Linked DNA regions of Astyanax mexicanus. The protein of the gene in region 1 purifies or fractionates together with the protein of each later gene. This does not show direct contact. Links are inferred from orthologs where the notes say so. Each region holds a gene or a part of one and is shown in the gene's direction. Other genes may lie near its edges. The genes, in order: klhl22, nudcd3 and emc1.

What was found.
Region 2: the proteins of klhl22 (region 1) and nudcd3 purify together in Homo sapiens (co-immunoprecipitation; 3 studies listed by BioGRID and IntAct, counting the BioPlex papers as one, with this or other methods). This does not show direct contact. The link is inferred for Astyanax mexicanus from reciprocal best matches to the Homo sapiens genes KLHL22 and NUDCD3.
Region 3: the proteins of klhl22 (region 1) and emc1 purify together in Homo sapiens (co-immunoprecipitation; 3 studies listed by BioGRID and IntAct, with this or other methods). This does not show direct contact. The link is inferred for Astyanax mexicanus from reciprocal best matches to the Homo sapiens genes KLHL22 and EMC1.

The regions. Positions count from the first base shown.
Region 1 is NC_064419.1:25,409,819-25,418,277, reverse strand, and holds the start of klhl22 (kelch-like protein 22), read left to right. Parts: upstream 1-5,290; 5' UTR 5,291-5,397; intron 5,398-7,897; exon of another isoform or gene 7,898-7,930; 5' UTR 7,931-7,974; coding exon 7,975-8,201; intron 8,202-8,459. UniProt on the Homo sapiens protein: Substrate-specific adapter of a BCR (BTB-CUL3-RBX1) E3 ubiquitin ligase complex required for chromosome alignment and localization of PLK1 at kinetochores.
Region 2 is NC_064427.1:2,310,774-2,318,724, reverse strand, and holds the start of nudcd3 (nudC domain-containing protein 3), read left to right. Parts: upstream 1-4,826; 5' UTR 4,827-4,999; coding exon 5,000-5,197; intron 5,198-6,173; coding exon 6,174-6,511; intron 6,512-6,874; coding exon 6,875-7,007; intron 7,008-7,702; coding exon 7,703-7,846; intron 7,847-7,951. Other genes in the region: mrps24 (28S ribosomal protein S24, mitochondrial), read right to left, coding at 1,707-1,990, 2,507-2,618, 3,102-3,182, 3,911-3,949.
Region 3 is NC_064420.1:35,925,137-35,932,822, forward strand, and holds the start of emc1 (ER membrane protein complex subunit 1), read left to right. Parts: upstream 1-4,308; 5' UTR 4,309-4,368; coding exon 4,369-4,460; intron 4,461-5,948; coding exon 5,949-6,076; intron 6,077-6,250; coding exon 6,251-6,316; intron 6,317-6,405; coding exon 6,406-6,499; intron 6,500-6,576; coding exon 6,577-6,705; intron 6,706-6,843; coding exon 6,844-6,970; intron 6,971-7,587; coding exon 7,588-7,686. Other genes in the region: uncharacterized protein zgc:154075, read right to left, coding at 3,028-3,084. UniProt on the Homo sapiens protein: Part of the endoplasmic reticulum membrane protein complex (EMC) that enables the energy-independent insertion into endoplasmic reticulum membranes of newly synthesized membrane proteins.

The DNA.
Region 1 (8,459 bases):
CTAGCTACCTGTCCTTCGATCTAGCTGCCGTCCTCCGATTGGCCCCATTCATTCCAATGGGGCCACTTCGTACGACATTCGTACGAAATCCGTACGTCGTAACTTTTCGTAACGCATATTTTCGGAAAGAGCTCAATAAGTTCTACAGGTCCTCAATTGGTTTCATCTTCGTATTTCAAAAATTGCGACGTCCACGGGCGTGCAAAGTTCTGCCCATTCATTGTCAATGGGCAAAAAAACGCGTACTTACGAAGTTTTTACGAAAAACGTAAGTCCGATCGGAAAGCTGTATACAAGCCCACCATTCCCGATATAGACGCACGTTTTCTCTTTTGAACGAAGTCGATATTTCGAAAACTGCGGCACTAGTTAACCGGACAAAAAACAGGTGGAATAATAATAATAATAATAATAATAAGAAGAAGAAGAATAAGACTTAAGAAGATCAATACTGTGATTGCATTACTGCAATCACACTAATAATAATAATAATAATAATAATAATAAGAATAAGACTTAAGAAGAACAGTACTGTGATTGCATACTGCAATCACACTAATAAGAAGAAGAAGAATAAGACTTAAGAAGAACAATACTGTGATTGCATTACTGCAATCACACTAATAATAAGAAGAAGAAGAATAAGACTTAAGAAGATCAATACTGTGATTGCATTACTGCAATCACACTAATAAGACTTAAGAAGATCAATACTGTGATTGCATTACTGCAATCACACTAATAATAACAATAATAAAAAAGGCTCTTATCTGTTTGCCAGGCACACCACATATTATGATCTTAAATATGTCAATACGTTTTAGATGATGTACAAGTTTACCAGATGTTTTTGTATAACATTACTTTCTTCTGGTAAAAAGTAATTAACTTACTTCATTTTTTACACTATAAGGTGCACTTAAAATCCTCAAATCTTCCCCAAAAATGTCAGTGAGCCAGTGCTTTTTATGTATGAATTTTACCAGTCAGGTTTTAAGGAGCAAATTGCAGTGTTTTTCAGTTTTAGTTCAGTTAAGTTATTCGGTTTCAGTTTTGTTCTTCAGCACAGAGGAGTAGCATTAGCATTAACCACTATTTCCCCTTTAAGAGGTGAGTATTATCGGTCTGTAGCCTGCTGCTTACCCCAGTTAGCACTGCTGGAGCAGCATTAGCATTACCCACTAACTGCACTCGCTATTTCCCTGTTCAGAGGTTAGTATTTTAGGCCTGTAGCCTGCTCCTAACCCCCGGATAGCACTGCTGGCGCAGTTAGCCAATAATGCTAATTCTAAGCTTAACCGATGCACTTTACTAACCCAAATAAACAGTTTTCAGGAAAGAAATCTGTGTAGATTAACATCCAGCCCTTGTTTGACTTTAAAAGAAAGTCTTTTTTTAATAAAGTTACTTAACTTAGTAAGCTACCCCTCCCTCACCCCCCACAACCTGCTGAATTAGAAGTTTCTGATCTATTACAATGCGCCTTATAATCCAATGTGCCTTATGTATAAAAATAGATGTTTATTGAGTGCCGCTTATAGTGCAAAAAATAATGGTAACAATGAATGAGAAAGATATACACAGGACCGGTTAAAGATTATTGTGTTGTCCAGTAGCACTGCTATATTGCCCAGATAAGCTGCTTTTTTTATTGCTGAACTTCACCTGTCTGACCAATTCTTCTCTTCACTGCTGAAATTGAGACAAAGTTCGATATTAAGCTGAGCTGAAGGCTAAAGCTGTTGCCATGTCGGTCAGACAGATCTCTTCCAGTACCAGTCGTTTGAATGTGTAGGAAACAGTACTCACTGCTCTTTGACTTCATCTGTAATTTATCTGAAGAAAAGACTTACATTCTTAAGTTATCTGTGTTTCTGTGTCTTTTTCTAGTATGTATGATAAAAGTGTGAATGTGTATAAGTGTGTAAATGCTGCAGTAGAGACAGCATTAACACATTCTGTTTCAGCACTGCTTTACAGACAGAGGCTTTGTAAAATGACATTTTTAAACCAATATATCACTTTTACAATATACTAATAATTGTTTTTTAAGAATACTTAAGTAACCTTTTTTCAGTTTTAGCTCATGTGTTTTTCTTAACCCTCAATGGCATCTTTTTGGTTATTACATCATCTCATACCATATCATACTTATATATGAAACCCTGTCAGTTTACTGCAAGATTTTGTAACATGTCTGAATATTGAGTGTATCTGAAGAGCTTAAATGAAAAAAGAGAACAAAACACTGACTGGTATTGTATATCTAGTGCCCTTTGTGATAATGTGCTTTTGTTATATATATAGAAAAAAGGATATAAGGGTGCAGGTCATAAACTCCCTGGCACACCAGCAGTATTCAGAAACCATTCAGGATTTAAGACCCTTCACATGCTCTAAGCCCTGCTAAACTAATATGCACAGACTCCCATTAGCAGTCAGGTTGAAACAGGTGAAACAGCAAACACAGAACACAATGTCCAGACAGAAAAGGGGTGTTAAGTCCCCAGGCCTGGTGGGTCTACAGTGTTCCACCTCATTTAACACACGTTCATTCAACTCATCAGCTACAGGAGCAAAGTCTGTGTGTTTGAAGAGAGAAAAGAGAAAAAACTCTGATCTCTGTAGAGCTGCAGCCCCCCAGGACCTAAGCCTTGACACCCCTGGCCTGTCTGGACATTGTCTCTTCCAGCATGTGTACCCTACCGCTGAAAAAAGGCTATTTTAAAGTCGTTCTGCCAGCACAAATGACTGAAGCATTTTTTTTTACTGGACTTGTTTTTGTAGCTCTGTCTGGTTCTTATTGATTTCTGACCTGTCATTAGTGTGGGACATATGTCAGCTTTTACAGCAGGTCTGAGTAGGCATTTGTTTGATAGGAGCAACATGCCCCATTAGTTATGAGTGCAATAAAAGCATTGGGACCCAGGCAGCAGAGGAGACAGAGCAGGACAAATAATCACATCAATTGCTTGAGATGGTTTAAAGATCAATGCAAATGCAATAGACTGCAAATGCAACAACACGGGACAGTTTCTATTTTAGTCTATTCTAGTCAAAAGTCTTATCAAATCTTTGCAAAATGTGAATTGAATCTTAGTTTCTATAGCCTATACATTCACGAGGCTGTTTATTTATTGATTTACTGACTGCTTCTGAAATGGTTTGTACAAACACTGCACGTGTAAAGGACCTATAAAATGGGACTAAATGTGTTTTCTATGATGTGTGAGGAACACGACAGATTTGAAAACACTTAACAAGAACAACATCGGCCTCTGTTGGCTAAAATAAGGAAGTGCACATTTCAGCTTTACTGAAGATACAGTTAAATAAGTTACATTAAAAAAAAAACATAAAATAAGACATAAGTAATACCATAACAGGGACATTTGCTACATTATAACAGTGCAGAGGACATAACAGAAGTGTCAGGAAATACAACAACAATAAAAAACAAAAAATTAAGAGACCAAGAGCTGTGGAAAAATTAAGACACCACTTCAGTTATTGAATCATGTCTCTGATTTTGCTATTTATAGGTATATGTCTAAACAAAATAAACATTGTTTTTTTATTCTATAAATTACGGACAGCATTTTTCTCAAATTTCAAATAAAAATATTGTCGTTTAGAGCATTCATTTGCAGAAAATGAGAAATGGCTGAAATAACAAAAACGATTCAGAGCTTTCAGACCACAAATAATGCAAAGAAAACAGATTGATATTCATAAAGTTTAAAATGTAAGTTTAAAACCATTTTAGTGGTCTCTTTATTTTTTTCCAGAGCTGTATATGTCAACAAATAAAAAAACCTGTTTCCCTTACATTCAAACTGTTATAATATGCTTTCAGATGTTTAAAGGCTAACAATATACACTACAAATGTGTAAATATTAAGCTTGCATAGTCCCCTCAATATTTGGGGGCAACATGGAAGTTTTTGTTTTGCAGTTGTGCTACTCATACATGTCCCACATGTGCATGTTATCTGGAGCAGCAGATCAGAACAGAGAAGAAAATAAGCAAAATCAAAGAAGAAATGAATTGCTCAGTGTTGCTCAGTAAATCAAACCAAATGAATCTACTGTTTCTATAGTCATAACGCAATGTCACAATATAACATTTTTAACGTTTAAAAGTGTTAATCATGGTGTTTATGTTCACAGTGTACAGGGTATTTTAAAAGGGGTGACCGGAAGTGAGAACCAGCTGGCGAACATAAACATAGCGCTAGCTTAGCAGGCTAATATTCAGTAGAGAGGAGATGTTTGATTCAGTTTACCGAACCGATTCATGTGAACTGTCTGAGTCAATGATTCAGTTCTGTAGCTATCCTCTGAATAAACTTACAAGTCCGTCAAAAGCCTTGTACATTTCTTATACTTTTTTAATAGAATCTCTTTAATAGCATTTGTGCTTTTTTTTTGTTAAGGTTGATTAACGTGATATTCTAACATGGTTTCTGTATATTAAATTAAATTAAAAATGCTCTATAATACCCCAGAGCCTATTTTATTATTATTATTATTATTATTATTATTATTATTATTATTACTACTACTGTGTGCACGTGACTGTAAATATTATAAGGTTAAAATCCTGATATAAAAATATAACAGATTTCATTAGTATTAAACTATTTATAAATGTTGTTCTAGAAATCAAGTCAGAACTAGTTCTACGGAACGTAAAACATTTAACTAAAGCTTTTAGATTGGTTTTAGTGCTTTAAATGATTTGGTACAGACCTATAGAAGCAAAAAAAATACAATTAATAATAATCAATAATCAATTAATAATTGATCTCCAGCACTAACCCAGTCCTACATTCAGTAAATAAATAAATAACTTCAGATGAACAAACACAGATTTTCACTGTCCTGTAGTGATGCTCTGAAGATATTCATTAAGCCACTTAGAAACTGCGTGAGTTAAAATGACTAAAAAAGTGCTGGAAGGAACACAGCTTTTAAATGGTCTGTGACACATAAGCGACTTCACTACAGACTATTATTGACTCTTAGAGTGATTCATTTCCCGTTGTGTCTCAGGTTATATTACTCGAACTTTTTTTAGAACCACAGAAAGAGAGGGTAATTAAACACTAAAAATAAAGCTACTTTATTTAACAGTTAAGCTCGCTTTGCCTTGTTTTTGTAAATTACTATCCCAATGAGTTTTGAATGAGCCCGAGCTACTTTGGTTCTACTACCCAAAGACATCTTATGTCTATGCAACTACCTACGAAAAAAGAACCGGTTCAAATGAACCGACTGATTCATGAATCGTGTGTCGCTAGGCTAAAGTCGAAAGCGAAATGTCAACTGTCAACAGCGCTGCCTGCCGACTTTCAGCCTTCTAGAGCCTCCTGTAGAGTGTCAGCCGCTGTTCCCGTAGGTTTCATTGTTTTTTCAGTTATTCATTTATGCACGCGACTTTTAACGGACGTGCTGTAGTAATATAACACTTTCTGTGCGGTTAATGAAGCGCACAAGTGCTACAGCGGAGCGCGGAGACAGCGTTAGCGTTAGCATCTTAGCTTAGCCACCTTGTTGCAGTGGTGCAAGTGTTTTTCAGCGTCTTCGCTCAGTCTGCGCCAAACAGCCGTAAATAAATATACAGCTACTGTGATTTATAATATTTTACACTAACTGGCGGAAAGTAGTCCTAGTTTTGTTAGTTAATGTTACATGTGATGTTTGTTAAGTTGTTAAGGAATCAGTGCATTTGTTTTTATTCTGTAGCTCTAGGGTGGTTAGTTAACTAGTGCAGGCAGACAGTACTGCGGTTTCTACAGCTACTGACTCAAACAATAGCCATGAAGTATTGTATTGTATTTATTATTACAGTAAAAAGAGGAATTACACCCATTTTTTTTATTTGAGATGCAGACAGATTGATTGTGATTGGTTTAGTTTTAAATTGTAAATTGTAGAGAAACTCACTAATTGAGATTTCTTTACAATGGTGGTGAATGAAACCAAGATTTGCAACATCTAAATCAACTGCAGCATTTTTATTTATGTCCAAAACAACAAGTAAATGTGTGTCATTGTTAGCTTTATAGTTAGATTGTTGAAACTTAACATCTGTAATCAGTGCACTGTACTTTCAGTTTCTTAACTGAGTCAGACAAACATTAAGTTAACTGTATGAACATATTAAAGGGCTAAAATGGTTGAAATAACAATAAAATGCAGAAGAAAAAAAAAATTCATATTTATAAAGTTTTAAGAGTTCAGAAATCAATATTTGGTGGAATAACCATGGTTTTTAATCACATTTCGAATGCATCTTGGCATTTTCTCCTCCACCTCCTCTTACACACTGCTTTTGCCACTCCTGGTGCAAAAAACCAAGCAGTTTAGCTTGATTTGATGGCTGTTATCTACCATCTTCCTCTTGATTATATTCCAGAGGTTTTCAATATGGTAAAATCCAAGAAACTTTTTTAATTGGTCTTTTTTTTTTATCCTGGGCTGTGTGTGTTTAAAGAATTAATAATTTCACTTGTTCTTCAAAATACAAACAATGTCACTTGGATTGGTTGATTATAAAATGCTGCATTTTAGAGAAACCCACTAGCTCAGATATCTGTACATTGGTAATTAGTGAAGCTGGATGTCTCAGTATCTACAGTACAAATATAGCTATTATATTATCTGTCCAAAGTAAATTTACCAGTAAATTTACATGTGTCATTGATTTGTTATGAGGAACGCCTTAAGATAACAAATTATACACACTTAAAGAGAAGTTTGTTCCAGACACTGATATACCAACAAAGTCACTCAGATTAGTTTAGTGTAAAATATTTAATTTCAGGGTAACATGCATATTTCTTTACAGTGATAGAAATTCGGGGATGATTGCTGTCTACAACACAAATATATTTTTAATTTCTGTTTTTATGTCTCTCCCGTCCATCAATAAACCTGTATGTCTTATGGGGCTTTATGTGAGGTAAAGTAGCAGTTAATGTTAAGAGTTAAGAGTAATGATTTTGCTTTCGAAAGCCCAGTGTGTTTCTCTTATTGTGTATTTCTTTTACACATTTACGCATTAAATCTAGTTTAAAAAAAAAAAAAAAAAGAAATTTTCACTTGTTGAGAAGCAGACAGATTGACTGTGATTGGTTTAGTGTAAAATAGTTAATTGTAAAGAAAATCACTAACTGAGATTTATTGAAAGTGGTGGTGAATGGAAACAGGATTTGCAATATCTAACCCAACCACAGCATTTTCATTACTGTCCAAAACAACCAGTGAATTTACATGTGTCAGTGTTAGCTTTATAGATTATAGAAACTTAAATCTATGATCAGTGCACTGTACTTTCAGTTTCTTTATTATTTCTTAATCAAATATTTAATTTATTTACTGTATGAATTATATATACACACCTAAAAAGAATGCACCTGTTTTTCAAAACTTCAAAACTGTACCAAATTTCCGTGTTAAAGTATCAGCACTACTTGGATTTGTTTAGTATAAAGTGTTGCATTTTTTACCCATTAGCTCATATATCTGTACAATGGTGATTAGTAGAGAGGAAAGTCTCAATATTTACAAAAGAAAAATTTAGCTAGCTGTTTTATACTGTTTTATGTGAAGTAGAATGAGGATTAATGGTAAGAGTAGTAAGTTTTATTTTTGCTTTAGAATGCCAAGTATATTTTTGTTTGCCATTAATTGGTTAAAATACATTTAAAGACCATACTGTTTTTTAGTTAAACATAATGTCATGCAGCAGGTTTTGAGTTGTGTTGAATATGATATCTTGAAATCCATTTATGTATAAAGTAGCCTGTTATATTTGATGCATTCAGCTGTAATAAATGGTTACAAAAATTCACTAAGTGATTATTCGTTTTTTTGTTTTTTTCACCTACAGCTTTCCCTTCTCATCTCGAAAACCTTTTCTCAGTAATGTGATCTACAGTACAAGGCCTTGCGTCTGGTGGTGCAGAAATGGCAGATGATGTGGATGCCAGCCCAGTCAAGGCAGGGCGAGGTGTAAACTCTGTGCAGCCGTGTGCCAGGCAGAAGTTCTGCAGCGGTAGCCACTCCCGAGAACTCCTGGATGGGCTTCTGGCTCTGCGCGAAGGGGGTATTCTTTTTGATGTGGTGCTGCTGGTGGAGGGAAGACCCATTCAAGCTCATCGCATCCTGCTTGCAGCTTCCTGTGGCTATTTCAGGTTATTAGTTCTGCATTTTGGTTTGAGCATCATTAGAGTTAATTACTTCGGTTAATACATTTGAAATTTGTGTTGTACTGGGATGTGTTAGACATTTTTTTATGTGATGCTGCAATTTTATATCATATTAATAATGAAACTTTAATATTATCTTTCTTTAATAGTAAATTGATACTTTTAGATAATACTACTTTGTTAAGTGATTTTTTTTTAACATAAGTTAAAAAAAAACAATTGTAGGACACCACAGAACATTGT
Region 2 (7,951 bases), on another chromosome or scaffold:
AGCACTTTTTACATTTTAAAACATGATTATTAAAACCACATTGCACCCATTCAGAGGAACTGTGAAATGGTGGAGAGCTTTAAATCATATATATTTTTAATATAAACTGTATTTCCGGTCACATATCACATGAATATTTTAAATATTATTTAAATGTGAATATATAATTTCCCTCTCTCTCTTTTACATGTGCATCGCTCCACTCCACTCCAGATATTTGAGAACACACTCCAGAGCTTTAAACTTTCTCACTGTATTTGTAACTGGATTTTTTTTTTATGGATTATGTTGGATATTTAAGGGAAAATTGTCTCATTTAGGCAAAGTTTTTTTTTTTTGTATTATGATGGAATTATATGTGCCTTGTCTTTTGCACTATAATTGTGAACACACTTTTGCGTTAAAGGAAATGTTAATTTTACAGAATAATAATAAATGTGAAATTGGGAAGTTTAACCACCCCCAAACTTTTAATTTTGTCCTGTTTGAAAAAAAATGTTAAAGAAATTCTATTAAATTCCTTAAAACAGTGTTGCCTGGTTTATAATATTGTTGAGTTTTATAGTTATGCGCTGATGTGGTCTTTTTTTCCTGGGTTAATGCCCATATTCTGTATTTCACATGTAAATATCTGCTGCTGCTAATATAGATATTTATAACTTACAGAGAGATTACACACCCCAGTTTAACTTTAAAACGTTAATAACTAATAAAAATCAATAAATATTAGCTTAAATGAGTAGACGAGAGTTGGCCTTTTGTAGTAGTGTGGCCAGCACCTCTAACTCCTTTCCCAGCATAAAATAATAAAAAAAAAAATTCTAAAAACAATTAATTCTGGAAAAATAGCAAATATTATTGTGCATTTCTAGTGTTTTGTGTGTTGTTAAGCAGGCACCACGGGTACCATACTAACACTTTAGCAACCACCTAGCATTTGCTTAGCAACACCATAGCAACCACCTTGGAATTGTTAGTTACCACTTAGCAACCACACACCAACAACCAGGTATACCACAGCAACACCACAGCAACCACTTTGCCACAGCTTAGCAACCAACTGGGATACCTTAGCTATCAGTGTGAACTCTTTTAGCTGTCCACTTTTCTAATTAATAATGTGAATTATTAATCTGTGTAAACAGTCAAAAGACAAAAAAAAAAACAGGGTGTTAAATAATAAAGCGTCCCCACTTAGTTTTAGGGAGCAGAGGTAAATAAAAATTAAATTAAAGAAAATAGTTACTTCATCTCTTAAAACAATTAATGAATCTTATGAAAAAAATTGTTTAAATCCCTTAATGATGCAATAAATATTAGCATTAGGAAATCTATGCTAAGTAGGTTGCTAGATAGCTTAAAAATAATAAAAATAATTATAATAATAATAATAATAATAATAATGTTGGCATGTGTGTTTGCACATCAGGAACATTTAAATTTACAGAGATTATTTATTTGTTTTTGATAATTGTTTGCTTTTAGTGCATTAAAAAAAAATAATAGAAAAGCAAAAAAAAAAACTTTAAGCCTATATAATTTATAAACTCTCTGTGACGAACATACAGAACACAAGCATGTTTCATATTTTAAACCTTTATATTCACATGATATTTATAACACAAACAGTTTGAACTGAAAAAGAAACACAGCTGTGAGTTCCGATCCTCCCTCCATTACAAAACATTAACCAAACACACGAGAGGTTAGAGATATTTATACACCACTTTCTCCTCCACCGTCTGGATCTCCATCTTCACAGGACATTTATAGAAGTGCGAGAGCAGTTCCTCAGTGTAGCCAATAAAGAAATAATATTTACGAGGAGGCATCTTCTGGAACATTAAAGCAGAGATGATCAGCATGTTTCCTCTGCGCTTAATAACCAGTTCATTCGCCAGGCACCTGTGAAACGTGCCGTATATGAAGCGTCGGATGAAGGCGTCTTCTACTGTTCGATCTGCAGTGCCGTGCTCTCCATTCAGATTACCTAAAAAAACATAAAACAGTGTGCAAAATTCTAAAAAACTCTAAAATTGTAAAAGTCTTTTTTTTTGTTTTGTTTGAGCATAAAAAAAAAAACAGTGTGCATTTAAGATTTTTTTTTCTGTCTGTTGGATATACTGTAGATACCCAGTTCAGCAGGTGTAAAGTTGTGGTCTATGTGTCTATGCTGCATAAATGATGAATATATGGAACATATAGATGCAGCATAGTAAAGGAAAATCAGTAGTGCACTTTGTTAGTGCACCTTTGATAGTTTGTTGTGTTTTTTTTTTAATCATTTTAATAGTGTAAGTCAGTGCTGGACTAAATAATAATATGTCTTTTCAACTAAAATGAGCTGAATAGGCTGATTAGAAGTCTTGTTATAAAATAATATTAGGATATTAGAGCCATAATAAATAACTACACTATACTATTACATACACATACATACATACATATACCCAGTAAAACTGGAAAACTTTTCAAGAGGTTAAAATCAATAAAAAGAGTGACTTGCTTGTATGATGGGAGAGCCATCCCTTCCTGTGAGCGATCTGGTGGGGGGGCAGAGCCTCCTCATACGTCATCGGCCGGTCCCCTTTACCCACACGGATACGAGCAGCACGATTCTGCAGAGACAAGACAACAGACCCATTAACCCTGCAGCTACATCATATCCTTTACAGCCAATCAAAGCATTACAAATACTGACCATAAACCCTGAATATTATATAGTATCAGCATCATCATCACCACAATGCACAGCACTCTGTTATTTTACACTGACTGAAATATCACTGACAGTTGGCTGTGGAATATTTAGTAGTGAGTAGTGAAATTTCATGACTGGACTTGTTATTGCACAGGTGCTGCGTCCTACAGTATCACTGTACCACAGTGCTGGAATTCACTGAACTCCTGAGACCCATTCTTTCACTACTGTTTGTAGAAGCAGTCCCAGCATGCCTAGCTGCTGCTTTTATTATTAAACACCTGTGAAGACGGAAGAGATTCAGGAACAACTGAGTTTTATTATTTGGATGGGTGAGCGAATCATTTTGGCAATAATACAGTTTAAAGTTAAATTTTAAGAACACACCAGTCCTCCATACCTTATTACAGACTGCTGTAGAGTGGATGCTCCTCACTCCAGAGTTCAGCCATAGTGCACCATTCAACTGACTACACAGAGTCTATAAGGGAAGAAAAAAGTCATAAGCCATGTATCAGAAAATGAGAATATTATATGAGACCAATTGGTACTTTTGACAGTGTGGGCAGTGTGCCAAGTCCGGCTGGAAAATAAAATCCGCATCTCCAAAAAAGTGCTGTAAGATTTTTCCACTCTTCCTCCAGACTCTGGTCCTTTGATTTCCAAATGAAATGTAAAATGTACTGATCATCAGTGATGGATTGGAGAGACATGTCATTTGCTGGTGTTGATTCACTGTGTCAACCTCTCAATTATAGTTACATTTCTTAAATAAAAAAAAAATAATATATATATATATATATATATATATATATATATATATATATATATATATATATATATATATATATATATATATAGGGCTCTGGAAACAAATAAGGGCCCACTTCAGTTTCTAAATCAAGCTTGGCTTGATGGCTTGTGGTCATCCATCTCCCTTTTGATTATATTCCAGAGGTTTTCAATTTGAAAAATCAAAGAATCTCATCTTTTTTTACACACTCTCTTATTTTTTTTTCACAGCTGTGATATATATATTAACCCTACATTAAAAATAATGAATTAGGGACAATAACACAGTAACTCTGCTGTATTCTCAGGCTCGCAGTGCTGCCCGCTCTACACTACACACAGAGAGCTGAACTATAAAGAGCTGCAGGTGATTTTTTGGTAATAAACGGAGTATTAATGGTGTAAATCAGCGCTTACTGTTAATAATCTCCTCTGGCTGCTGAAGGACGCCGCCATGGCTGCTGCACATGACCACCAGCGACCATCACCCGCTTCCTGTACCGCAGCGGAGCTTCACTGCCGCCCCCTAGCGGCTCCTCACCCACACACCAACCCAGATACACACTGTACTGTACAATGCATTTATAACATACAACAATATTTTTACCTTAATGTGTTGCAAATTGCGACAGTTTGAAACATTTTACAATTAAATAAGATATCTAAATTTTATTTATACATATATATATATATGTGTGATGTTGCTTGTATGTGCGGTGAATTTGGCCTAATATTGTGTCCATTTCATGTTGATTCTTTGTATTATTTACAAAGATTAAAAATCAATTAAACATTATATTCATTAAAACATCAATATCAACAAATAATATAGATACTACATTGAATGAAATTTAATAATATATTTGGATTTTAAAAGTACTTTTTTTAGATATTATAAGCATATTTAAATAGTATTCCATGATAAATCTTATGATTTTAACGTACTTTTGCGCTCTCTACTGGCATTTTGTTAAAACTACAACAAATTAAAATGAGGACAAAATAATTATTTTTCTTAATATTTTTTTTTTTAACATTGAGGACTGATATGCATACATAGATAGATAGATTTTTTAAATAAAGTAGTCTCTAAATATATAAATATATTAAAGTTATATCTTTAGTAACTTTAATAATTTTTATTTAATTTTGTTCTCTTCCTGTCAGTGGAGTGACTTCTGCTGTTAATAATGCAAAAGCCAAATATTTAATTAAATTAAATATGTTCATTTTATTAAACTTTTAATAAATTCTTTATAAATATATTTGTATTAACTTTTAATGGTTAAAAGTTGTGAACAGGCAAGGGAAGACTTTTATTTTGGTAAGTGGTACCGGAAGTGTTTAGTAAGGCTGTATGGTGTTGTGGCTGTGTGTGTTTTTTAGGGACTGAAGCTCTTTCTCTGTTTATAAACTGTGTAATTTACTGTATTTCGCGCAGTTAATCGTGTGTTTTATATCAGTGTGGTTTATTAGCGGTATATTAGAGCTCGCGCTGTGTGGAGAATGTCCTCGCCGGTGGAAATGACGGAGTTATATGATAACGCGCTGCTCGGGATTCTGCAGCACGTCGGAAACATCCAGAATTTTCTGCAGATTTTTTTCGGGTTTTTATACAGAAAAACTGATTTTTACCGGCTGATGAGCAGCTCTACCGACCGCATGGGTTTTCCGCCCGGAGTCGCGGAGAAAATGGTGCTGAAGGTGAGAGAATTGCATGCTGAAGAACTTGAAAAACTACTGACCTGTTTATTTACCCCCACTGTTCATCCACAACCAGTACAGTACAATACAGTGCTGTGAATGACTGTACAGTAAGGTACAGTACAGTGCAGTGAATTACTGTACAGTAAGGTACAGTACAGTGCAGTGAAGTACAGTGCTGTGAATTACTGTACAGTTAGGTACAGTGCAGTGAAGTACAGTGCTGTGAATTACTGTACAGTTAGGTACAGTGCAGTGAAGTACAGTGCTGTGAATTATTGTACAGTGAAGTACAGTACAGTGGAGAGTAGTGCAGAGCAGTACAGTACAGTGAAGTAACTTACAAATACAGTGCAGTGAAATACAGTACAGTGCAGTGATGTACAGTCAAGTGCCAGTACAATGCAGTGAAGTACAGATGCAGTGCAGTAAAGTACACACAGTGATTTGAAGTATACATACAGTGCAGTGAAGTACAGTACAGTGGAGAGTAGTACAGAGCAGTACAGTACAGTACAGTGAAGTAACTTACAAATACAGTGCAGTGCAGGGATGTACAGTCAAGTGTAGGTACAGTGCATTGAAGTACACATACAGTGCAGTAAAGTACACACACAGTGCATTTAAGTATACATACAGTGCAGTGAAGTACAGTACAGTGGAGAGTAGTACAGAGCAGTACAGTGCAGTGGATAGTAGTGCCGTGCAATACAGATACTGTGCAGTAAAGTACTGTGGAGATTAGTACAGTGCAGTGAAGTGCACTGAACTGAACATCTCTTGGCTTGGATGAACTAAACTTTAGATGTAAGGATAATTAAATTAAATTGGATTGAATTACATTAAATTTAATATTTCATTTTAAAGACTGTGTTCCTGAATAAGGATGACCCAGCATCATTATAATTTTATTTTTATGTTTATATATATTTTAACAATGCTATTTACAAGTCTCCTCTTTCTCCTTTGCCTCCAGACATTTAAGCTGTTTGAGAAGTGTGCGGCTCAGGACAGAGAGCGGGCGATGCAGGTTGCTGAGGAGACCAAAGCAGTTCCAGCAGCAGTTCAGGAGCTGGAGGTTCAGTCACAGCCAGAAGAAGCAGAACCTGCTGAAGCCCCTCAGGAACCTGCAGCTGCCTCAGCTTCAGCCACAGAACCAGACGCTGCTTCAGCTATGGAGACCCAGTCACAAAACAGCGTCCAGCCTGCAGAGAGTGATCAGGCAGCAGCAGCAGCATCCAGTTCAGCCTCCGGTTCAGCCTCCGGTTCAGCCTCCGCTTCAGCCTCCGCTTCAGCCTCCAGTACAGATGCAGGGTAAGGGTTTGGTCTTGGGCTTTGGTGGAACAATCCTGGTTTTTAATCACAGTTTTTCTGTATTTTGGCATGTTCTCCTCCACCAGTCTTACACACTGCTTTTGGATAACTTTATGCTGCTTTACTCCTGGTGCAAAAATTCAAGCAGTTCAGTTTGGTTTGATGGCTTGTGATCATCCATTTTCCTCTTGATTATATTTCATAGGTTTTTAATTTGGTAAGAGTTTAGATATACACACATGCATATATACTGTCTGTTTTTAGAAACAACCTACACTGAAGCATATTTGTTTTATTATGTATTATCCTAATAATTTTATTTAATTTTACGTAATTTATTGATCTTGTCTGTTGTTTGTTTAGTGGGCAGACTGTTTATCAAGCCAACTCGGACAGCTACAATGGTGCAGTTAGAGAAAACTACAGCTGGTCGCAGGATTACACGGATGTGGAAGTTCGAGTTTTTGTACCACCCAGTATCGTCAAGGGCAGACAGGTAATTAACAGCCATGGCTATCCACAGCAGTAAAAAAAAAAAAAGTAAATTACCTTCTAGATCCTACTGTAAAAATTCTTATTAATTTTTTAAAATACATTTTTAATTAATACTGAAGTGATTAATACTCTGAAGGAATACATAAGGAATCATGTAGTATCTTAAAAGTGTTAAACAAACTAAAATGTTAAATGTAAAGTATTTAGGTGTTCTTATCTGGGGAGCTGTTAACTTGCCAACAGAGGGACTTTTCGCTTTTCCTTTACTGGGGCGGTCCTGATGAGTGCCAGTTTCATCATCATGATGGTCTTTTTTGCAACTGCATTTTCGGATACTTTCATAGTTCTTGAAATTGACTTTCGGATTAACTGACCATAAATTCTTCAAATATTTTTCCCTTTTCTTTACTTAGTTGAGTGTTTTTTGCCATAATATGTATTAGAACATTACTTATTCACTGTACATCTTCACCACTTTACAACTGATGCTGTCAAACACATTAAGAGGCAAGAAATTCAAGTAATTAACTCTCGATGAGTTCAGCACAGCTGTTAACTGAAAGCCTGAATTCCAGTTGACTCTACCTCATAAAGCTGACTGAGAAAAGAGACAGCAGAGATGTGCAAAACTGTCTAATCTAAACAAGAGGTGCTACTTGTTGCAGCAATGACTGTTTAATATCTTTTTCTATACAGGTATCTGTGAACCTTCAGTGTGGTTCAGTTCGTGTAGCAGTGAAGGAGGGAGCGTCAGAAAAAGTCCTGCTGGAAGGCGAATTTACTCACAAAATCAACACAGAGAATTCGCTGTGGAGTCTGGAGCCAGGACAATGTGTATTAGTAAGCACTGTTTCATTTCAAGCTGTTTTTCAGGATATTTTTTAAAATAGAAAGTTGTTGTTTGATGTATAAATAGTAAAAATGTGATTTAGGATGTAGAGAAAC
Region 3 (7,686 bases), on another chromosome or scaffold:
TTGGTTGGTTTTACACTATTTTAAATAGAGATGGTATAGGGTCACATATTCTGATACCAGCTGTCAGAAAGTGTGACCCCTATTCTAAATCATTATGGTCAAGTCCAGTAATAAATGTTTTGTGTAGCTGAAAAGGTGAAGGAATAGTGAGTAATCTGAGAAGATTTGGTTAGTTTTACACTATATTTAATAAAGATGGCATAGGGTCACATATTTTGATACCAGCTGTCAGAAAGTGTGACCCCTATTCTAAAGCATTATGGTCAAGTCCAGTAATAAATATTTTGTATAGCTGAAAAGGTGAAGTAATAGTGAGTAATCTGACAGTATTTGGTTGGTTTTGCACTATATTTAATAGAGATGGTATAGGGTCACATATTCTGATACCAGCTGTCAGAAAGTGTGACCCCTATTCTAAATCATTATGGTCAAGTCCAGTAATAAATATTTTGTGAAGCTGAAAAGGTGAAGTAATAGTGAGTAATCTGACAGTATTTGGTTGGTTTTGCACTATATTTAATAGAGATGGTATAGGGTCACATATTCTGATACCAGCTGTCAGAAAGTGTGACCCCTATTCTAAAGCATTATGGTCAAGTCCAGTAATAAATGTTTTGTGTAGCTGAAAAGGTGAAGGAATAGTGAGTAATCTGAGAAGATTTGGTTAGTTTTACACTATATTTAATAAAGATGGCATAGGGTCACATATTTTGATACCAGCTGTCAGAAAGTGTGACCCCTATTCTAAAGCATTATGGTCAAGTCCAGTAATAAATGTTTTGTGTAGCTGAAAAGGTGAAGTAATAGTGAGTAATCTGACAGTATTTGGTTGGTTTTGCACTATATTTAGTATAGATGGTATAGGGTCACATATTCTGATACCAGCTGTCAGAAAGTGTGACCCCTATTCTAAGGCATTATGGTCAAGTCCAGTAACTAATGTTTTGTGTAGCTGAAAAGGTGAAGGAATGGTGAGTAATCTGAGAAAATGTGGTAAGTTTTAAACTATATTTAATAAAGATGGTATAGGGTCACATATTTTGATACCAGCTGTCAGAAAGTATGACCCCTATTCTAAAGCATTACGATCAAGTCCAGTAATAAATGTTTTGTAAAGCTGAAAATGTGAAGTAATAGTGAGTGAAGATTTGGTTGGTTTTACACGGAGATGAATAGTGTCACATATTCTGATGTCAGATGTCAGAGTTTGAGTAAAGGCCAGTGATTGCCTCACTCTCACAAAAAAAACTTTATAACTCATGTTTAAGATAGGACCTGACAAAGGCACATTTTTACAGTTGAATCAAGTATCAGCCCATTTTGTCTCCAAAATAACAGAAAACAATGAAAAAATAACCTAACCCTTTTAATAAATGGAATTAAAATGGAATCTTTTAACATCGGATAGGGCATTATAACTACCATTTGAATAATTTTTAGATCAGTTTAAATATGATACACATTATCTAATGTATGTTTAGCATAATAGAACAGGTGTAAAGTATGAGATAATCTATTTTCTTCTTATCTAATATTTTACTGGTTCTGACGTTTTGGTTTGTTTAGGGAAAAAGCTTGTATTTTGCAGTGCACCCCCCCCCCCCCCCCCCCCTACTTTCTTCATACGACGTGAAAATGCAGAGAATTAATAATGAAACGTTCATGTTCAAGATCATTTATTTTATTTATAGACAACATAAAAATGTAAACACCCTTTTTTCATCGTTCGACAGCAGCAGAAAGAGAAAATAAAGCGAGTCCGCGTAGCTTACGCAGTCTACGCAGCGCGCTCGTGCCCGTGAACAGAAACTGTGAAGTAGCGCCCTCTGTGGTCACAAAACCCGACGGTCACAGAAAACGGTGTAACACCGGCACACCAACTGGCACATCTTACAACAGCCAGCACATTAACTGGAACATCTTTAAAAAATTCAACATACCAACTGACACATCTTACAGCAGCCAGCACATCAACTGGCACATCTTTAAAAAATCAGGCACACCAACTGGCACATCTTTAAAAAATCCGGCACACCTTACAGCAGCCAGCACATCAACTGGCACATCTTTAAAAAATCCAGCACACCAACTAGCACATTTTACAGCAGCCAGCACATCAACTGGCACATCTTACAACAGCTGGCACATCTTGGGAGAAACCAGCACATTGACCGGCACATCTTGCAGCATCCAGCACACCGACACATCATTGTTTTGCACACCATGCAAGCTTGATTCAAACAGGTATTAATACATATTTCAAAGAGATCTTATAATTTTTGAAAGCTTAATTTAGGATTTACCTGCTTGAATGGAGCAATCGAAAAACGCACGAGATGCGTAATTACGCACGGGATGCGTAAAAGCGCACGTGATGCGTAATTACGCACGAGATGCGCAATTACGCACGAGATGCGCAATTACGCACGAAATGCGTAAAAGCGCACGAGCTGCGTAATTACGCACGGGATGCGTAAAACGCATGAAACGCGTAAATACGCACGAGATGCGTAAAAATGTATATAAAATAGGAGAGGAGGAGTAGGAGAACCCTATACAGCACCGTGTCCGGTTCTGTCTTCTTCAGGACACGATTTAATAGGTGTGACATGGAAGGCATGTCTTATTCAAAGGACAGAAGTCCAAAGAAGTTATCAAATTTTCTAAATCTAGACAGCACACAATAACACATTTTCACTATGAGTAGCCTAGTGCAGCCAATAGGGCACTTTGTCTGTTTTTTACCAGGTACCAGGTTTCTACATGGTATACTTTCTCAATCGTAAAAACAGCATCCAGCGCCTCATGACCTGAGGTGTTTTAGAGCAGGGATACAGCTCTCCCGTTCTGTGAAAAAGGACTGCTAACGCTAGAGGGAGTCCGCGAGAGAGTCCTCAATAAATGGGGTAAATTGAGCTAAACAGCTAAAAACTCTAAATTAAAATAGTAACTACTACCTGTCCAAAATGCTTCTTTAATTTTGAAAATAATAATAAAGAACTGTTCTAAAAAAGTAAAGAAACTTACCTGTACGTAGCTATTTTTCGTACAGCATACAAGTTTTAGGCAGGAAGACGCTAGCATTTCTGCTAGTGTGCTGACCGGTTGGTGAGCTGATGCTACAATTAAAGCCAGAGCACGTTTAAAAGTTATACAACGATTTTAACTAAGGTTTTAAAGCTCGCTGTTTAATTAAAAACAAGTATCTCAATTTGGTAAATTTTTGGTTTACTACATACTATTTCATAGTCTAAAACACAAACTGTCCTTTTTACATTGTGTAAAAATTGATAAATGGGCCAAAATGAGCTGAAATTTACTCTTCACATTGACTTACATTTAAATAAAGCTAAGAAATCTTTAGCTAATTATCTCTCTAAAACGCTAAAGTTGCTGTTTTTGAGATACATGTTTTTCTTTGGACAGCGACTATAAATCAGCGGTGCTAAAACATTTGATATTGTTCTATGTTCAGGAAATAAGCAGCGATTTCAAACTCAAAACTCAGATTCGAACTGAATCGATTCATTTGAATCACAGTGTTTGATTCAAACTGGTTCGAAGTCTGTATCGAAACAAAAAATAAGCTTGACTTGACGGTCACAAATCAGGTTTTGAACCTTTTGATTCAGTCTTCCCAAACCCTCTGTTTGCCATCACTAGTAAAATGATCAGACATTTAGAAAATGTTGCTCAGTTGCTCCATGTGGATCCATTTTTTCGAACAACTCCAAATCTTTTCTGTTTGCAATGTATTTGCTGTATAGATTTTATAGTAGAATAGTAGTATATAATATGAATATAATATAATATTCTCATATAAAATCTATATAGCAAATAAATCAAATTAACTAAAATATATAATATATATTTTATTCAAATTGCATTGGAAGGCTGTATGTAATATTTTATATTAAATTACATAAAACATTCCTAAACAGTTAAAGAAAACATGATTAAAAAGTGTTATAAATGTTATTAAATTCAATTAAAGTAAAACATAACTTTGCCCCAAAGGCTAAAAACTTTAAAAAATAAAGAAAACGCATGATAATGTCTAAATGATGTACATTGTAATGGATGAAAGGTCGGAAAGGGTTAAAATATAGCTAAAAGGCTGCCCAGGGAACTGCCTGACTGTAATAATCCTAACAGCCTTCCTACAGATGCACATAAACACTGTAGTCAATCTGTTAGGGGTAATATGGAAAGTACAGTATGAAAAAACTGAAGGTTTAAATAAATGATATTATTTTCGTTTTGGTAATTAATGAATTAACGGATAGTGAGGGTTTGGTCGTTGGGTCCTGAATCGCGGAGGCTGATGGGACCCGCGGAGGATCTACAGTAGCAGCAGCAGCAGCAGCGATGGCCGGGCTGTGCTCTGTGTTTTCTGTGTGTCTGTGTTTATTAGGGTTCTCTGCGGCGGTGTTTGAGGACCAGGTGGGGAAGTTTGACTGGTATGTACAGGCGGAGAGATTATACACTCTGTAAATATCGCTGACAGGCAGCTTTCTGAAACACACCATTCAAACTGGTCACCGGGGAGCTAATGGCTAGCTGACTAATGGCAGCCAAAGCTAAAACTGATTGGCTGGTGGTGAGATGTAGCTTAGCTAAGCTAGTTAGCTTGCTTAGTTGTTCTAAATCATAATTATTGTAATCAGATTTATAGCTAGGGTTAAGTATCTATCATATCAAACAACTGGTCGATTAATGACAATAGTTAAACTGAATACACCTGCTGTCGCTTGCTAACCTAACCTATATGTTTTTGCTTCCTTAACGACTGATCCCAGCTTTATAGCTACAGTCATCATAATTATTCTTTCGGAAACTGCTAATCAGTTTTTCAGGTTTCTGAAAGAGAAATGTTGTGGTTTCAGTCTGAGTAGAACATGTCTACCCTTCTATTATTTTAACTAAGGACATTGACTAGAATTGCAAGATTATCTAGATTTCATTATTCTCATTTTCCATTCCAAAGATTGTGTAGACATGGTATTATTTGAGTCTCAGTAGAAATGTAGATTTTTTTGTTTGGTTTTTAAATGACATTTACTAGAACTTGTAACATAGCCCTCATTTTTATGTTGTGATGTTTAATTTAAGTAGGGCTGAACTGATGTGGTAATTCTGGGTTGATGCAGATATATTGAATTACAAATGTAAAGCTGATGATATCAGTATACACATTAAAAACTTACCAGCTAACTAGTTCTTACATCAGCTTTAAATGAACTAGTCTTATTAAACAATATATCTATTGAAACTAACAACAATATGTACATATCATTGGATTTTAAAGTAGGGCAGCCAGTGTCGGCCTGTTGTCAGTGGTGCAGCCAGTATTGTACAGCAATACACACGTAAACAAGATTCTGTTTAAAATATCTAGACATAGATATGATACCAATATGAGTCCAATGTCATCACGTATCCCTACGTTTTAGCCAGTGATTTTTTAGTGTAAAGAACTTACTACAGTCAGTGATGTGCAATAAATTTAAAACACATTTCGTGTTTTTAGTATCTTTTAGTGTTTTTGTTGGTTTTGTCTAGAAGCCAGTTAGTCAAAAATGTGCACACAACTGACTAAATGTGTTTTCCAAAATAGACAAATATAAAGATATTTGTATCTAAAGGCTTATACTAGCCTCTAGTGCTATCTGAGCCAAACCTAATATGATAAGAAAAATATGCATACTCATTTAAGTGTTTTTCACATGGCCAAAAATATATAATTGCTGTTTTTCTGTGAAAAATCTCATTGTATCTATTTCTTTTGTACATAATTTGATACAAGCAGCTGTGCATTGCATGAAACCATCATCATGAATGAACCAATGCAATACAATGTTCTGGAAACAGAGCTAGACTAATGAACAAATTCAACAGAAGCTAATTCATTATTGTTGCCTAAATGTTGTTGTGCAATCTTATTTTAGGAGACAGCAGTTTGTGGGGAAGGTGCAATTTGCACTGTTCGATACTCATTCCCAGGCATCTAAAAAGCTACTGGTGGCAACTGAGAAGAATATTTTTGCCTCTCTGAACTCCAGAACTGGAGATCTTTGTGAGTATTACTCTCCAAGATGCATTAGTTTAAATAAGAATAGTTACATTTTTTATAATTGACTGGAAAATGTAAGTTAAAATACATCGAATGTATTTATTTTTCTATGTATGAAGGTGTAGAATGAAGCAAGGATAAATATATGTAAGAGTGATCTCTTGTTTCTTTTTGTAGTCTGGCGACATGTTGACAAGACCGGACCAGATGGACATATTGATACACTTATGATGCATGGCCAAGGTACCTGTGAGAAAGTATGAATTTTAATTTTGCTACTAAATAAAGTGCAGCGAGTAAACTGTGAAACCGTGGTCTTTGCTGTTTACTAGATGCCGTTGTTGTTGTTGGGAATGGTCGACTTCTTCGATCCTGGGAGACCACTGTTGGAGGCTTAAATTGGGAGACAGTGCTTGATACTGGAAGGTTGGATGTTTGTGACCTTTATGATTATAATGGTGTTGTGATATTCAGAAATGTAATAACATATATTATCCCTTTAGTTTTCAGTCTGCTGCTTATATTGGAGTCCAAGATGTGGTGAGGTATGTTGCGGTGCTTAAGAAGTCTGCCATCTCGCTTCATTACCTTTCCAATGGCCATCAGAAATGGGTGGAAAATCTTCCAGAAAGGTGAAACTAGTTAATATTTTGCAGATGAATTATTTATTTTAATAGATATAAAATTGTTCTTTATGTCACTTATTTTTCTTGTAAATCTCTAAATCACTTCGTTACATTTTTTGCATTCTATTGTTTTGTATGTTTTAGTGACACTGTTCAATATCAGACGGTCTACTCTGGAGGGAATGGACAGGTCTTTGTTCTTGGTGTGGTCCCCAATTCTCATATTGTTATTGTTGAATACAACATAGAAGATGGAGAAATCATGAAACAGGTAAGCATGGATTCTATTGTTTTAATCAGGGCTGCCCAAAGTTACCCCGTTTAAAGAATGTTATTTGGCCCATTAGTAATGTACCCACAAAAATAAAATTAATATATATACACTCACTGTCAAAAGAAAATTGTGGCGAAAATAACTGCAATGCTATTTGGAAGGAAGATAAAGCTTGCTAGGGACAGTAATTGATGAGCTTATATGATATATGATATGGGAAGTACTTATTATGCTACACACAGAAGTAGTGTGTGACACATGTGAAACACAACATGCAGAATCTCCTGCAGTAATCCTTCCCATGCAGCTGGATTATTCATGCAGTTCCTGCAGATTTTGCAACAGATGTGGAGTGTTGATAGCACCTCTAATAGTATCCCACACATTTTTAATCAGGGGTCTGGTGATGCAGCTGGCTGTGGCATGGTGTCTGACTTCATGGCTTATTCCTTTGTCTGGAAAATATTGTTTTTTTTTTTTGTTTTTTTTATGCACGAAAAAATGTTAGCCTGTTTAATTATAAATAAATATTTTGTGTATTACAAATGTAACATTTGCAAATATTCCTGTCCTGGTGTGAATGATTCTCAGAAAACATATTTTGTTGTTCCTAGAAATCAGTTGCGGCTCCATGGTTGTCAAGCTTGCAGTCCAGCTGTGTGATGGTTGGTTCTGGGGTGCTTTTGTGTGCTGACCCAACTACAAAATCACTG